Linked DNA regions of Alligator mississippiensis. The protein of the gene in region 2 purifies or fractionates together with the protein of the main gene of each other region. This does not show direct contact. Links are inferred from orthologs where the notes say so. Each region holds a gene or a part of one and is shown on either strand. Other genes may lie near its edges.

What was found. The genes of interacting proteins can lie anywhere in the genome.
Region 1: the proteins of PTCH1 (region 2) and GRK2 purify together in Homo sapiens (affinity purification with western blotting; 3 studies listed by BioGRID and IntAct, with this or other methods). This does not show direct contact. The link is inferred for Alligator mississippiensis from reciprocal best matches to the Homo sapiens genes PTCH1 and GRK2.

What each region holds. Positions count from the first base shown.
Region 1 is NC_081825.1:176,049,175-176,056,835, forward strand, and holds the start of GRK2 (beta-adrenergic receptor kinase 1), read left to right. Parts: upstream 1-4,644; 5' UTR 4,645-5,366; coding exon 5,367-5,479; intron 5,480-7,661. UniProt on the Homo sapiens protein: Specifically phosphorylates the agonist-occupied form of the beta-adrenergic and closely related receptors, probably inducing a desensitization of them. Key regulator of LPAR1 signaling.
Region 2 is NC_081826.1:206,077,354-206,084,470, forward strand, and holds the start of PTCH1 (protein patched homolog 1), read right to left. Parts: upstream 3,002-7,117; 5' UTR 2,630-3,001; coding exon 2,423-2,629; intron 684-2,422; coding exon 491-683; intron 1-490.

The DNA.
Region 1 (7,661 bases), on a different chromosome or scaffold from region 2:
GAGATAGGTAGGGGGATCCTGGATCCTGCACCCCAATGCTGCATCCTAGCAGGAGGAACCCCTGCCCACTCCCCTCTCAAGTCCTACATGTGTGGCTGGTTGCTGCCAGGCTGCGCTCCATGCCCAGCAGGGAGATTCCCACCCATGGGTATCAGGGAACAGGGCGAAACCCATGGGCTATTTTGTCAGGGAGTCACAAATGCAGGAAAAGGAACAACATGAGACAAACTATTTGCATGAAGGTCTATCGCTTCTCATCCATACCCCAGGGCTGTGTCACTTGGCTGCTGGTGGTAATATCCTTCAATGCAGCTAATCTCATTTTGTCTGTCTACAGTGAAACCAGTGACCTGGTTCCTTTATTTCTGCCTCCTCAGCATGTGCCCCTCACCCACGCTCCTGAGCAGGCAGCACCCAAGGGGAGAGCTTAAAGAACAGCAGCAAACCTCCTCCTTTCCTTTCTGGGTGTCAGAATCTGGGTTCTCCTGAAATGGGCGCTGTTGACCTAACTGCTCTATATCAAAAGCAAACCCAGAGAGGCTCTTACCAGTCCCACCTTCCATGAATGAAACGCTGGATAATCAGAAAGAATCCAATTGACTTTTCATCATTTTTCCTAGGAAGGTGGATTTTCCCCTTCATTCCTCTATACTGGGGGGCTAGAGGCCTGCACATGCATTGTCCTCATGTTGTCAGAACCACAGTGTCTAGGATATAAGCATGGAAAGGAGGAGAAGCTTTCACCAGTTAACCTGAAAACAATGCTTTTCATGGAACATCGTGCTTGGTCTTGTGTTTGCCCAGCTGGGAGTAGCTTGCTACTTGCACTGCATCACTGGAAAGGATCCAGCCTGCCTAATTCCACCTCACTTGATTCTTTGTCTTGATCAGTATCACCAGACAGATTTAAAAAAAAAAAAGGGGGGGGTTGGTTTTTTTACTTCCGAGAGCTGTAGGTGTTATCTTTTTAATTGTTTCCTAAGGCTTAAATCTTGTTAACTCAGAAGTTATCTGCACACTCTGGCTGGCACTCTTTGGAGCCGTGCTTTATGAGTAGTATTCCGGTAATGCTTCCATCACTACTACCCTACTTCAAGATCAGGGCCATGTTGTATTGGGTGCAGGACGGACGACCTCATGTAAGGTGAGCCCTGCCCCAAGGAGCCCACAGTCTAAACAGAAAGGAAGGAGGAGTATTCTTGGGCCACAGTGAAATGAAGTGACTTGCCTACAGTCACCTAGAGAGTCAGTGGCAGTGCTGAGACTTGAACTTTGGTCCCCTGAGTCCCAGAACAGTACATACCAACAAGGCCACCCTTCTGGCAATGCTTTTCCTTTAAGACTTCTTAATATTCTTCTCCTTTCTGGAGGTTCTTGATTGGCAGCAGTCAGCGCCAGCAGGAGGGACCTGCACTTCTGCCTCTACACGTGCCCAAGTCTCATCTCCTCTCTTACCACAGGGATATGGGAGCTGATGGCCCAGCAGGGGCCAGGAGGCAACTGCTGCGGCTCTGAGAGAGCTGGGTTCACTCCCTACCTTGAAGGGCCATAGTACATTGTGGGCTGAACACCTCCATGTGTCCTCACTGCCACCTATGTGACAGGGCTTAGGGAACACATCCAAATGGGCTGGACAATACTCAGCTGGGTTTAAATTCACAGCTGGAGGAGGGAGGAAATATACCTCTGCCCTCTCAGCCAGCCACCTCTGTGCTCTCGGCCATTGTTAATTTTCCCAAGGTCCTAAATAAAACCCATAAAGCAAGGAGCCAGAGCCAGTCAGAAAAAGGGAAAAAGTGTTTTGGGTTTTTTTAACTCTTAGGAAGCATCCAGTTGTAAATGCTGCCTTGGCTTCTGCAGGAATTGGAGCAGAGAGGTCTCACATGCCCATTCTCTTCTCTGAGCCGGGTGTCCCAGCCAGACTACATCTCCCACAGTCCCCTCTGCTTTTGGAAGGGGGTGGCAGGGTATCACCGGATATTTTGGCTGTAGTACATCATGGGAGGTAGGCATGAGGAAACCAAATGCTGGACCAGTCCCAAACCCTGCTTTGTTTGTTTTCAGATGTTTGGGATTTGAAGAGGAAAATCTCCATCTTCTAAGGGAAGCGGATGTTCTCCTTGAAGAGCCGCCTTTGGTTAAAAAGCCAGTTTTCTATTAACAAACCACCCTTTCTGATTAGACCCATGTCCCAGGTCTGCTTCTCTGGGACCTTGGTCAAGGTACAGACCTGAGGATAAGACAACAGTGCTTATTCTTGTAAGGATAATGTGCCACATGAGCATGTCTTAGCAAACATGTCCCCAAGGCCGGATTAATACATAGGCAAACTAGGCACATGCTTAGGGCCTTAAGTGAAGAAGTGGCCCGGTTGTGCTTATTTGACATGTTACTTTTTTCACTCAATAATTATAATATAAATATACAGTATTAAGTAGGGAGGGGACCACGAATTTGTTTGCCTAGGGCCCACTAAAGGGTTAATCCCTCCTGCAACCAGTTAGGCACGTGCTTAACTTCCAGCGATTAGGTAGTCCCATGGACATCGCACCAGTGAAGTTAAATATGTCAATATTGCCAACTCTGCAAGCCTTACAGTGTTGGGTGCTATACGTGGGAGCCCCTGGTCCCAGTCGTGATTCAGTAGGAGATTCCCTGCTTTCACTTTAACAAAAAGGTAAGTTTCTCGTCCTTGTGGGCTAGAAGAAAGCCTGCAAAGGCTTGGAAACCAGAAAGCAAATAAACCAGTTGTTTTTTAAATACCCATGGTTTTTGAGATGGCCTCAGGACTTTGTCTCAGCCCAGCTTGTGAATTTTGAAGCCTTGTGGCTGACGGTCCTGGAAGATGGAAGCGGCACCATTTTGGCAGAAAAATAGTAAGCAATAAGATGGCAATGTTCACTTTCCTCCATCATTTAATAGTGTTGGAGTGATGTAGTAGCCATGATTGTCCAGGAAATATGCGAGAGGCAAGGATTTTTGTGGGCGATATCTTTTATTGGACCAACTGTATAGTTGGGATAGACTTAGACAAGCTTACGAAAGATGTCCAGTAAAAAATATCATCCACAAAAATCCTTGTCCCTAAGCCAGTAGTTCTCAACCTTTTTAGACTCAGAGCCCTGAGGCACCCCTGACTAAGCACAAGGCACCCCTTGGAAAATGCCACCTCTTCATTTTTACTACAGAAAAATAACAGGGCAATTCTTCTGTTGCAAAGAACTCAGAAAGGCCATAACAGGGCAGAAAGATTTTTAACACTATGACTTCCTATTTGAAATCTCTGGGTTTTTCTTGTGAATCGTGTTTACATACCTGCTAGCGCTAACAGTATGTGGCACCCCCAGCACCCTTGAAAGGATCTCTCAGCACCCTAGTTGAGAATCACTGCTCTTAAGTAATGAAATATTTTCCATCCTTCTCATGGCTTGTGTGCTGTTTGCCTCTTGCCTGTGGAATTTGTCTGGGCAATGATAGGATCATTCTGGTTGGTTTCACTCCCATTTTTAAGCCTCTTGCAAGGGAGGGAGTGGGGCTTTTTATCCCAGCAGTGAATTTGACTTGATTTCCTTTCCAAATGGACAACACTAGCGGTAGCATATGTAGGGGTGGGCAGCGGGACAGCAGCCCCAGAAATTACTTGTTTTTGCCTCTAAACGCTGGTATGAATACTCAGAGTCCAAACAATAGGTGGACTCCTCTCTCCAGCTGTGCTCTATGCATTTAAAGACAAAGCTCGGGTATGCTTTGCCAATAGGAAGACCAGAACTGATTTTTCTTTCACATGGGGAGCTGATTGGCAGGGCCCTCATCCTTAGACTGGTAGTTCTGAGGCAGGCTCTGCCTTTTCGTTTCAGGTGCATACCAGGCCAGGAATGTGTTTCATCCCTGTGGACTAGAGCACTCCAGCGGGGTGCAGGACTTTGCTAGAGATGCAAAGACTTGAAGGTTAGGCAGGATCACTGCAATAATCTAATCTGACTTCCTGCATCGTGCAGACCAGCAAACCTCGCCCAGGAATTCCTGCGTCGGGCCTATACACTTATGGTTTGAGCTAGGCATCTCGGCTCAGCTCCCAGTCTATATTCAGGGAAGGGGGACACAGGGTGTACCAGGTCCCACGCTGCTCAGATGCAGACCTGCCCCCCATCCCAGTCCTCCACTGTCCTGGCAGCATGGCAGAGAGGAGATCACAGGTTGCAGCTTGGTAGGTTTTCATGTGGCTCCTCTTTCAAAAGCAATTGCCCCTGGGAGGACCTGCAGTTGTTACTGTGCCCTCCACATGCTGCACTTGTGTACCTGATGCACTCACGCAACCAGGTAAGTGGTGCCCACCAGGCCACACGTGACACATGCAGCCAGCTGTTGTGCTGGCACCGCCATCGTCAGAGGCTTTAAGCAACATTTTGGGGGGGGATGTGTGAGACTTCAAGCAACAGCGCGCGCGTGTGTGTGTGTGTGTGTGTGTGCGCGCGTGTGGCGGAGGAAAGGAACAGGAGAACCTGGCCTTGTGTGTGCAGGAGAGAAGGACGAACACATCAGCTGAGACCTCCAGAGGGCAGCGTTCAAGCTCTCTGTCCTCCCAAAAAGCTTCACTTCCAGGTTTTCAAGGCACTGTGACTTTAAGCTGCAGCCAGGGAGCGGGGGGGGGGTGTGTGGAAGAGTCTGCATGAGAAACACACAAGCCTGCAGCCAGCCAAGGAGGAAGAGTGTGAGTGCAGGAGCCTATCCTCAGCGCCTTGCTCTCTCCCCCTTTTCTTTTTTTAATGCCCCTACAGATTCCTTGGAACTTCTTATTTCCCCCCGCTTGCACTGACTCAAACACATCTTTTAATCTCCGGGCCCAGGCCCCCCCCTTCCTCTCCCCACCACACACACTCAGCCTTCACACTCTGCTTCCCCCGAGTTCACACCCGCACACACTCCACTGAAAAACAGAAGCAGTTGTCAGCAAGAACGAGGGGAAGACAGCCGGCCAAACCCCAGTCTCAGGGCACTGGAGATCCGCCTCCCTTGTGTGCACACACACACGCGCGCATACACACTCACACACACAGCCCTAGAGAGGAAGAGGCGGTGAACAGCAGAGGAGCTGGGGCTGATCAGAAATAAGGAAGACGGGAAAGAGCTCGCTTGCTGCTTTTCTCCACAGGCATCATGTGGATCTCTTGGTGAACGGGCTTGGGGGGAACGTACCCCCTTTTTCTTCCCTCCCCCTGCCCCAAGCCCTCCCTCCCCCTTCACAGCTGGCATCAAGGGGGCAGCGGGGGGCTGCCTCTGCCGCTGAAGCCTGGGGGAATAAAATACAGTAAATAAGCTTTTTTTTTCTAAATAAGAAAGAGAAGGGAAAAAATTTTTCTGGCAAGATGGCCGACCTGGAAGCTGTCTTAGCCGATGTGAGCTACTTGATGGCCATGGAGAAGAGCAAGTCCACTCCGGCAGCCAGAGCCAGCAAGAAGATTCTCCTACCTGAGCCCAGGTGAGCCCAGGCAGGTGTGGGGCAGCTGGATACCTAGGCCCAGCCACATCCCCTCCTCCCCCGGGAGGAGGTCAGTGTTCGGTGGGGTATTGCAAAGGACCCACCACCTTGCCCTCCAACTCCCCCTCCAAAATGCCCACCCCCAGGGCCTCCCTGGAGGCAGAGCTGCCAGCCCAGTGTGGGCAGAGGGGTCTGGGTGGCATTGCTTTAGGAGGGGAGCAGTGTGTGTGACTGGGCATGGCGGGGCAGTGGGGGTGGGGGGGAAGCTGGTGCTTTCTGTCATGTCGAAGCTGTTGCTTCCTGATTCTTCTCCCTCACGCCAAGCCCAGGTCCTTCTGTTTTCCTGCGTCCCTCTGTGTGCCTGCCTCCTTTATCCCCCACCCAGGGAGAGGGGAGAGAGGGTGGTGATTATACCCCCTCCACTTCTTTCAAACCCACCCCTCAGACCCCAAATCTAGGTTCCCCTCCCCTTCATGTCTGTCAGCGTGCAGCAACCGGGGCTGTGCTCTCCTTGCCGAAGCAGCCCTAGCATCCAGGACTAGTGAACCCGGGCACCTTGTAACAGTCAGGGATGTTCGTTAGAGATTGTCAAGCATGCACCTGCGGGCAGGCACAGGGGACGCTGTCTTGACCTAGGGGTACACAGACCCTGGCATGTTCTCACACCTTCTGATCCCCCACCCTTCGCAGGGTCTGGACTCAGCCCCTGCCTGGCCCAGCCTTGCCGTGCTGTGCATCCATCAAGCACATGGTCAAGGGTCCATGTAGTGCAGCCCAGGGCAGGAGATGTAGCACCCATGGCACTTTCTTCCTCCCAGAGGACTTCAATGGGACCACCAGGCTGCTGTGGTCATGGCCCAGCCAGGAAAATGCAGCTGGTTCTGGGGTGTGAGGGATCTGGCAGGGAGGAGAGAAAAGGCCTTGAACCAAGGGCTCTAGGGCTGCCTGCCCCCCGCCCCTCATCTGTCTCCCCTACACATACCTCCTGTGCTAGCCATGCTGGACAGATTGGGGCTAGAGCTGTGCAGAGTGTGTCTGAGATGGGCTTATGCCTAGTGCGTGCAGGTGGGTGGGACGAAGGGATGGATAAGGAGCTGGAGGCCTGGATTGGTGGTTGCGGGGGTGAGTAAGAATTTGGAGGGAGGGGGCCAAGTCATCCAGATTCAGTGCTCTTGTCTCCAGGGAGTTTAGCTAGACTAGACCCCGCTACCCCCCGAGCAAGACCCACCCCTCAGCTTTATGGAGACAGTTTACATTCAGGTCCTGCCAGTCTCTGCCCTTCCCCAGTATCCCTGTTAAAAAGCATCTCTGCCCCACGCTGCCCCTGACAGCCACAGGCATTGCCAGGCCCTGGGAGAGGGGATCTCAGAGCTCAGGCCCCTTGTTGGCCCCAGGTCCCAAGTGCCCCCTGGGCCCATAGCACGATGGTGTTGAAGGAAGCCCAGGCCCCACCACATGGGCACGCTAGGTTAGTGATGACTTGTGGGAGACAGCAGGAAGCCAGCACCAGGCCAGGGGGTGCTGAGAGGTCACACCACCCTGGGTGATTTTGGTATGAGTGTAGTCCATCCAAATGCATGTGCGATACCCTCTGCCCACACTGCCGGTGGGGATAGACCCCAGGCTCCACAGAGGGAGATGGCAGCCTTGCTGCCTCCAGCTGCCCCCTGGTCAGCACAGCAGGGAGGCTGGCCTGGGGAGTTTTCCCTCAGATCTTTCCCTACTGGAAGTAATCACTTGTTTGGAGTGCCCCCACCTCACAATCCCACTGTCTCGGTACTCAGGCTGGGTGTGTTGACCCCCCCATGTCCCAGAACAGGATGTCTCCTAGGTCCAGGTCTGCCGAACCCCTGCCCTGAGTTGTCTCTTCCCCCCGTAGATTCACACACCTGATCCTTCCACACTGCTCCCTCCCCCCATCATTGCAGGATCAGGGTCGGCTTTGCCAGCCCTGATGGGGGCGTTGCACAGGGGGCGTCTAGGCTTAGGGGACAGAGGGCACTGGGGCAGGGTGCAGTGGAGCTCGGCCTTTGCAGGTGGGGAAGTGGTTTGGCCTTTACATGGCTGTGGGCACTGGGCTGAAGGCACAGTGAAGGTTAGGGCTGCATGGAGGGAGAAGTGGGGGCTTAGCTGGTGTGTGAGGATGGGGGCCCTAAACCAAGATGTGGGGCTCCCAGTGAGG
Region 2 (7,117 bases):
GTCCTCTATTTTTCTCTTCTGAGGACATAAAGGTGTCCAGTTTTATACCAAGAGGACAACTGGACTGTCCTCTATGATGGCGACCCGAGCCCCCAGGTCCCAGCCTCACAGTGTGTCCCCAAGCAGCCCCTTTGCAGGCTGCAACTCTGCCAGCCTTCCAGGGAAAAAGCCACGGTTTCCCACTTTTTTTTAAAGAAGAACCTATTTTTGATGCATTTTTCAAGTGTGTTTGCAACCCTTTCATATATTGTTGCGACCCGCTTTTGGGTCTTGACCCACAGGTTGAGAAACGCTGCTCTAGCCAACACTTGTGGCCTGGGTGACAGGCTGGCCACAAATTGCTGCCTTGACCTTCATGGGGGGCCGGGGGGGAGGGGGGAGTAGTGAGCTCCAGAAGATCCCAGCAAGGATCTCTTCTGGATCCCCTGAGGTGCCCTAAGGAGGGCAGAGGAAAGAGAAAGGGCTCCCAAGAGCAGGGACCAAGTCTTACCTTCCACCCAGAGCTCCTCCACGTTGGTCTCGAGATTAGCTGCCCTTAATCCTACAGCGAAAGCCCCAAAGATGAGGAGGCCGACAACCAAAAACTTGCCGCAGTTTTTTTGAATGTAACAGCCCAGTTTGAATAATAGTCTTTGAAACTTCGCTCTTAGCCACAGCGGTGCTTTTCTTCCAGTCGCCTTCCCCTGCAAGGCAAGAAAAGGGCAGCCATTGAGAGCCTGGGACAGACAGATAGACACCCACACGCACAGCGTGGGCATGCTTTTTTCCTCCTTCTTAGCAGCCTCCAAGCATCATCACATCTTCACGCAGGAGTGCCAGGAGCCTCAGAGCATCCATGAGCGGGGACATGAAGAGGACAACCTGAACCCTGGACAAGACACCTTGGACTGCAGCCCATGTCTCTGTGGAGCAGCCCTCCAGGCACCGGACACAGTGGTGTGGACTAAGACGTGCATGTAGACGGCTGAGTCTCCTATTCATAAATCAATACCCAGGTTTTGGGTGACATCACTGCAGGAGATCCGGATAAATGAGACAGCCTCTGCCTGCCCTCCCATCCAGCCCATCCCAGCCTTGCTGCAAGCAAGTCACTGCCATCAGTTCAGCAATACAAATCAGTGCAGCTCTGTAATCAAAAATTCATTCATGCTGGCAAGATTGCCAGCACAGGGGAAGCAAGAATCAAAGCAGATGAATCTCAACATGCCAAGAAAAAAAAAATCAAATCAAATCCCCCTTTCCTGTTCTTGTTACATCGGTAAAGGGGGTGGGGGGAAAGCTGCATTGTACCAATTTGCTGCCGATTCCCCCCTCCCCAGCTCCCGGCCCCGACTGTGTGTGTAGTAAATGACCGACCCACGTGGTGAGCAATGCTGCGTGATCATAAGCTTAATAGTCATTCATTTCCATAGAGTTTGGAGACGCTGTGTGATCGGAATGGTGAAGCAGAGCAGCCATCTGTAAGTTACGACAATATTTGTGAACGGAAGAGGGCAGCCACATGGATTTTTTTTTTTTTTTTTGCCTTTCCACTTCTTGCAAAGCCTTCCCCCCCAAAATAAAATTAAAGAAATCTGCTGCCTGAAATGAACCGATCTCCGAAGAAAGGCGATGCCTCCTCGCTGGGGTTTGCTAGGAACCTTTTTGCCTTGCAAAAGGGAGCGATCGGGACTATTTGGGGACGAGGGGGTTGTTGTTTCAGAGTCAGTCCCTGCGTTTGGAGCCTTTCGATATTAACAATAAAAGCGAGGATCCGGGATCATAGAAAGGGGGGAGAAAGGGGATGGGGGGACCTGACCTGCAAGGCAGATTTAAGGTGGCAATTTGTTTACAACTTTCACTTCTCCTCCAAGCGCCGGGGGTTTCAACAGGACAAAACTTCCTCTCCTCCAAGCCTGCTCCCTTCCGAGAGCCGCGATGCCCCCGCGGACTGGAAAACGTGACCGAAGGAAACCCCCGTCTTTTCTTTGCCCCCCCCCCGGAAAAAAAACCCTCGATCTTTTCCCGATCCCCATTTCCCGTCGGAAGCCGGGGCTGCCAGGCAGCGGCACAGCGCTCCGCAGGGATGGGGAGCAGCCGGGCACCCGAACCGAGAAGAGGGCGACCCACAAAAGAGGAGGGCAGGCGGCAGAGGGTCCCGGGCAGCGTTGCACGAGAGCAGCCGGGGAGCACCCCACCCCCCCGGGGGCAAGGAGGACGGCGAGGAGGGCAGGCTCTTCCGCACGGACTCACAGACGTCCCCCTCTTTCTCCCAGCATTTTATTGGTGGCTCTTTCATTCCCATCTCCTCCTTCCATGCAAAAAAAAAAAAAAAAAAATAGACACCCCCCTTTAAAAAAAAAAAAAAGATCGCTGGAAAGACACGCACACACAGACACCCAGAGGCGCGCGCACACGCACGCACAGCCAGAGGCTCATGCACCTTTGAGATCTGCTCCAAGGCGAAAGCTGCATCGCAGTAGCTCGGCCGCTGCAGACAGTCCAGCTCGGGCGCCGCAGCGCGTCTGGTCCCCCCGGTCCTCCTCCGCCTTCTGCTGCCGCTCCCCTCCGGCCCCTCGGGGTCCCTACAGCCACCGCCAGCCCCGCCGCCGCTGCTCTCCGGCTCCGAAATGTTACCAGCCGAGGCCATGTTGCCGCCGCCGGGACGGGGCTGCTGCTGCGGCGGCTGTTGTTGTTTGGGCGACCCGCGGGCTGGCTCGCCTGGGCTTCCCCGCGGCGCGCGGCGGCCGCGCTGGGGCGATGCGGGGGCACCGGGGGCTGGCTGAGCTGGCGGCGCTTCTCTCCGGCTGCTGCTGCTGCTGCTGACAAGCCACCTCTTCACACCGCGCGGGCTGCGGCGGCGGCGGCGGCTCCCGGCGAGGCAGACCCTGCGCCTTCCATTGCAACATTTCGCGAGGATCCGGGGGGCTCCGCTTCCCGCATCCAGCGTGTGTGCGAGCGGGGCGCGGGTGAGTGCGGCGGCTTCCCCCCCGGCCCGGGATCTGGGGGTTTAATCCTCCCGCTTCCACTTGGCTTCTCGCAGCTGCAAAGAAACCGGGCTCCCCCCCTCTCCTGCCCCTTTCCCCTCCCTCCCTCCCTCCCTCCCTCCCCGCCGCCTCGGTCTTGCTCCGTGGAAAAGCAAAGCCAAGCCGGGCTGGGGCTCCTCCGTGCTCCCCGTGGAGGTGCTGCCGCTGCCGCCGCTGCCTCTGGCCGCGCGGTCCCAGTCTGGCTCAGGGCAGAGCTGTCTCTGAGTCCCAGGGCGGGCGGCTCCGCGGTGCCCCTCTCCCTCTGGACGTGTGTGTGTGTCTCTCTCTCCCTCCGTGTGTGTGCAGCAGCAAGCAGCAGCTCCTTGATTCAATAGATGAGATGAAGAAGAAAAAAAGAACTCTCTCCATTTGGATAAAGAGGAGGAGGGGTGAAGGGGGGGGAGAGGAGAGAGAGGGGAAAGAAGGAGAAAAAAAAAAAAGCCCTCAAATCCCGCCCCTGGGGCTGTCAGATGGCTGGGCTTTCTGGGACGCGATTGGCTCAGGGAGGGCAGAAATTACTCAGCAAACATGACTATTATTAGCTGCTTAGCAACAGCTCACCAAAGTAGAGAGACCACCCAGGCAGGCAACCCTTGTGTGTGCATCTCCAGCTTCAGGGGGAGCCTTAAAGAGATCCAGCCTTCTTTGCATGCAATACTTCCATTAAGGAATGCCTCTCCCCCCGCACCCCCTCCCCACCTTTTCTTCTTCATTTTCTTTTCAACAACGGTTTCTTCTTTTTCTTTTTTTTTCTTTTTTTTTTTACGAGATGCTTTTAGACAAACACGCGCGCAAGCCTTTACTGCACATCCACCTTCAAAAATATATTTTGCTTTTTTTTTAAAAAAAAAGAAGAAAAAGAAACCCACGGAACGATTTCTAAAGCCTTTAAAAGAAAATCCTTTTAGAGGCACCTTGGCCTCAAGCTGCAACAAATACTGGGAGGTCCGAGCTGAATTCCCAGGCTTGCACAAATAATGACAGGGTGGTGGATACTGCGAGGGAAAGTGCCAATTTTTTTTTTTCCTCTCTCTCTCTCTCTCCCTCCCTCCCTCTCTCTTTTCTCCTTTTAACTAAAGAGGAGACAGATCCTTGCAAGAAAGGACCAGTGAGGGTGGGGGCAAATAATAATTAATAATAATAATGATGATGATGGTAATGATGATAACAACACACCATGGAAATTTAACACCCAGAAGAAGGGATGTAAAGCCGGGCAAGGAGCCCGCGCGGTTTAACTGAGCGTGGGGGTCCCGAGCCTCACTCTGCAGCAAAGTCCGCTTAATACCTCGCCCCCCCCCCCCCCGCCACAATTTTTTTTCAATGTCAAGTTCAGTCCCCAGAGGCTTTTCACGCTCCGCGTGAATCGCCAGCTTGTTTCGGGGCTATTTTTATTTGTTGGCACCCCAAAAATCAATGAGTTGCTTTTAAATAGATACTTAAAAATCAATGCATTGATTTTGGGGAGGGGGGAAGGAGATGCCCGTGTAGGGAGATGCTCCCCATCGGAAACGCTTTTAGGGGTGCAAGGGGGGGCTGTGCCTCTGTACAGGTTGCAGGAGGCGCTGTCACCCCGGAGGTGGCTTTTGCACCGCATTGCCCCCCCCATCTGCATGCATTTCAGGGACTCCCCCTCGTGCTTCTGCACCCCACCCCCCAGCCTGTACCACTGGGATGAGGGGGGCAGGTCCCACTCGGGGCCGTGTCCCTTTAAGGGGCGCGCGGTGTGTGTTCATTGAAAAAAAAAAAGAACGCGCGGGGGGCGGGGCCCAGCGGCGTCACGTGACACACGGGCGCCTGGGCCGGACTCCTCAAGTGCGCGGCGGGTTCGGCCGGGCCCTGAGGGTTCGGATTCTGAAAGGGGGGTGGAGATGGTACGACCCGAACCCGCGCTAGGCGCCCACACGGTGCCCGGGAGGGGCAGCTGCTCGGTTGGCCTCTGGCGGCCGGGAGACGTGCCAGACGAGCCGCAGTACATTCCAGGGGGCGGGCGCTGCGGCTCGCGCCCGCCAATGGTGCTCCGGGCTGGGCGCTCCGGGCCAATGGCGAGGCGGGGGGAGCCGTCCCCATTCAGTCTGCACAGCTGTGGTGGCGGGGTCGGGTCGGGCCGAGTGGGGGGGTAGAACCTGCTCCAGGGAGCGGGCTGGGCGCGCGGCTCCCGCGCCGCGGGGCCTCTGCGGAGTCGCGCGCTCTGCAGGGGGCGGATGCATGCAGCAACCGGGCGTGCAGGGGGCTTGCATGCGGGTCCCAGCACGGCGGGTGGGGGGGCAATGATCTCCCCTCTGCTTCCTGGTGCTCCCTGTACCACCCTGTCCCCCCTGCGCGGGGGCCGAGGCGCCAGCCCGCGGGCTCTGCCTCCTGCCTGGCAGCTTCGCCTCGGTAGGCCTTCCCGCCCTGTCCCGGCGCCTATAAATCCTGCCGGTTGGTGCCCCCAGTGTAATCGGGAGGCTCAGATTTAACAAGCGGTGTCTTAATCTCTCCCTCTCCCCCTGTGGTCTGTTTTTTTTTCATACCCCAGAGATGAATTACTGCGAGGATCTAATTGGCCTTGTTTCTGCCGCGCTTTAAAAAAAAATGGAGGAGGAGGAGGAAGAAGTGTCAGAGTAAAAGTCTGTCTCGACTTGGGTGGTCAGGAGCGGTGGCTGCCCCCAATTTGCCTCATTGCTGATGCATGCGAGTGCTGCATTCCCAGCGATAATGTTGTTCCTAATCAATCTGCCCTTATTTACATTTGTAAGCATTGTTGGCTTTAATATGCATGCCCTGCGCATGTCACCGCGGCTCCGCACCCGGGGCTCTCCCCCTCTCCTTTCTTTACCCTAAACTTCAAGGATCCCACAGATCGGAGTGGTGATAACACGCCCGGCTCCTCGCCTGCAGGAGGCCTTCCGAGGTGGCACCTCCCGCCGGCACTGCTCTGCCTTCCCCCGGCCCGGCTCGCTCCCCCCGGGTGGGCAGGGCCCGCCCAGTTGGCCCCTCCGGGTGCCTGGCACCAAGGACCCGCCTTCCTATATGCCCCCCTGGCATCCCGGAGCAGGAGCCTTGCAAGGGACATCGAGAGGTCACATCTAGTCCAACCCCCTGCTCGGAGCAGGACCATCCCCAGCTGGATCATCCCCAGCCAAGGCTTTGTCCGCCCGGCACAGATGCCCGGCAGAGGAGTTCAGCCCCGAGGGGTAGGGGCTGGGAGGTTGCTGATGGCTTCACGGCGACTCTTGCAGCGTGTTAGGGGGCTTCCCCCCCACCCCCCATCACTGCTCTGCCTGTAGCATCCGGTTACATGAATAAAGGAAGGACATTGAAAGAAAACACCTGCCCTCCAGATTGTTTGTTTGCCCGGCAGGAACAAAACTGACCTGGAGGGCGCTCACTCGCCTGTCATTTTTGTGCCCGGGGGTGGTTTTGCCCCCCACACCCGCCCCGATCTCCTTTTGGCATCCAGCTGTGCCGCCCAATAAGGCCTGTGGGGGGGAGGGGGGATGTCCTGCCCCGCTGTTGCAGCCCTTTGAATGCAATCGCCAAATAAACCCTGTTCTTGCTCCCCACCCCCCGCCCGGTCCTCCTCCCGGCAGAGCATCTCGCCCGTGTGTCTGGGCAGGTGCTGCGGGGGGCTCAGGGCTGGGGAGAGGGAGCCCGGCTCGGCTCTTGCCCTCGCTCTCGCCCTCGCCCTCCCTCCTCGGGACTAACAGGCGAGGGAGGCTGCTCGAGCCAACTTGTCAAAATAATGCGGCTAATTACCCCTGATCGCCTTTAATGGAGAACTGCTCCGCGCGCCACAAAGAAGCAAATGAGCGATCTCCAGCATCAGCCAGGCAGCGCAGGGCGTTGCAGCCGCCCCCGCTCCGGGCAGCCTCCTCCGGCTCTGCAGCCGCCGGGGGATCCGAGCGGGAGCAGCCCTTGTCATCCTCTCGCACACCCCAGCATCGCCTGCAAACCGGATCCTTTCCCTGGCAGCCTGCCCTCAGCCCCGCAGTGTGCACCGAGGGGGGACAGTCCCCCTGGAGAGCTTTTTAGCCCTTCTGGACCGCACCCGGGCTCTGTAACCATACACCTCGGCTCTCGCGTTTGGCAGGAGGCGCAGACCATTCATTTTCCTGATCTCTGCCATGGGG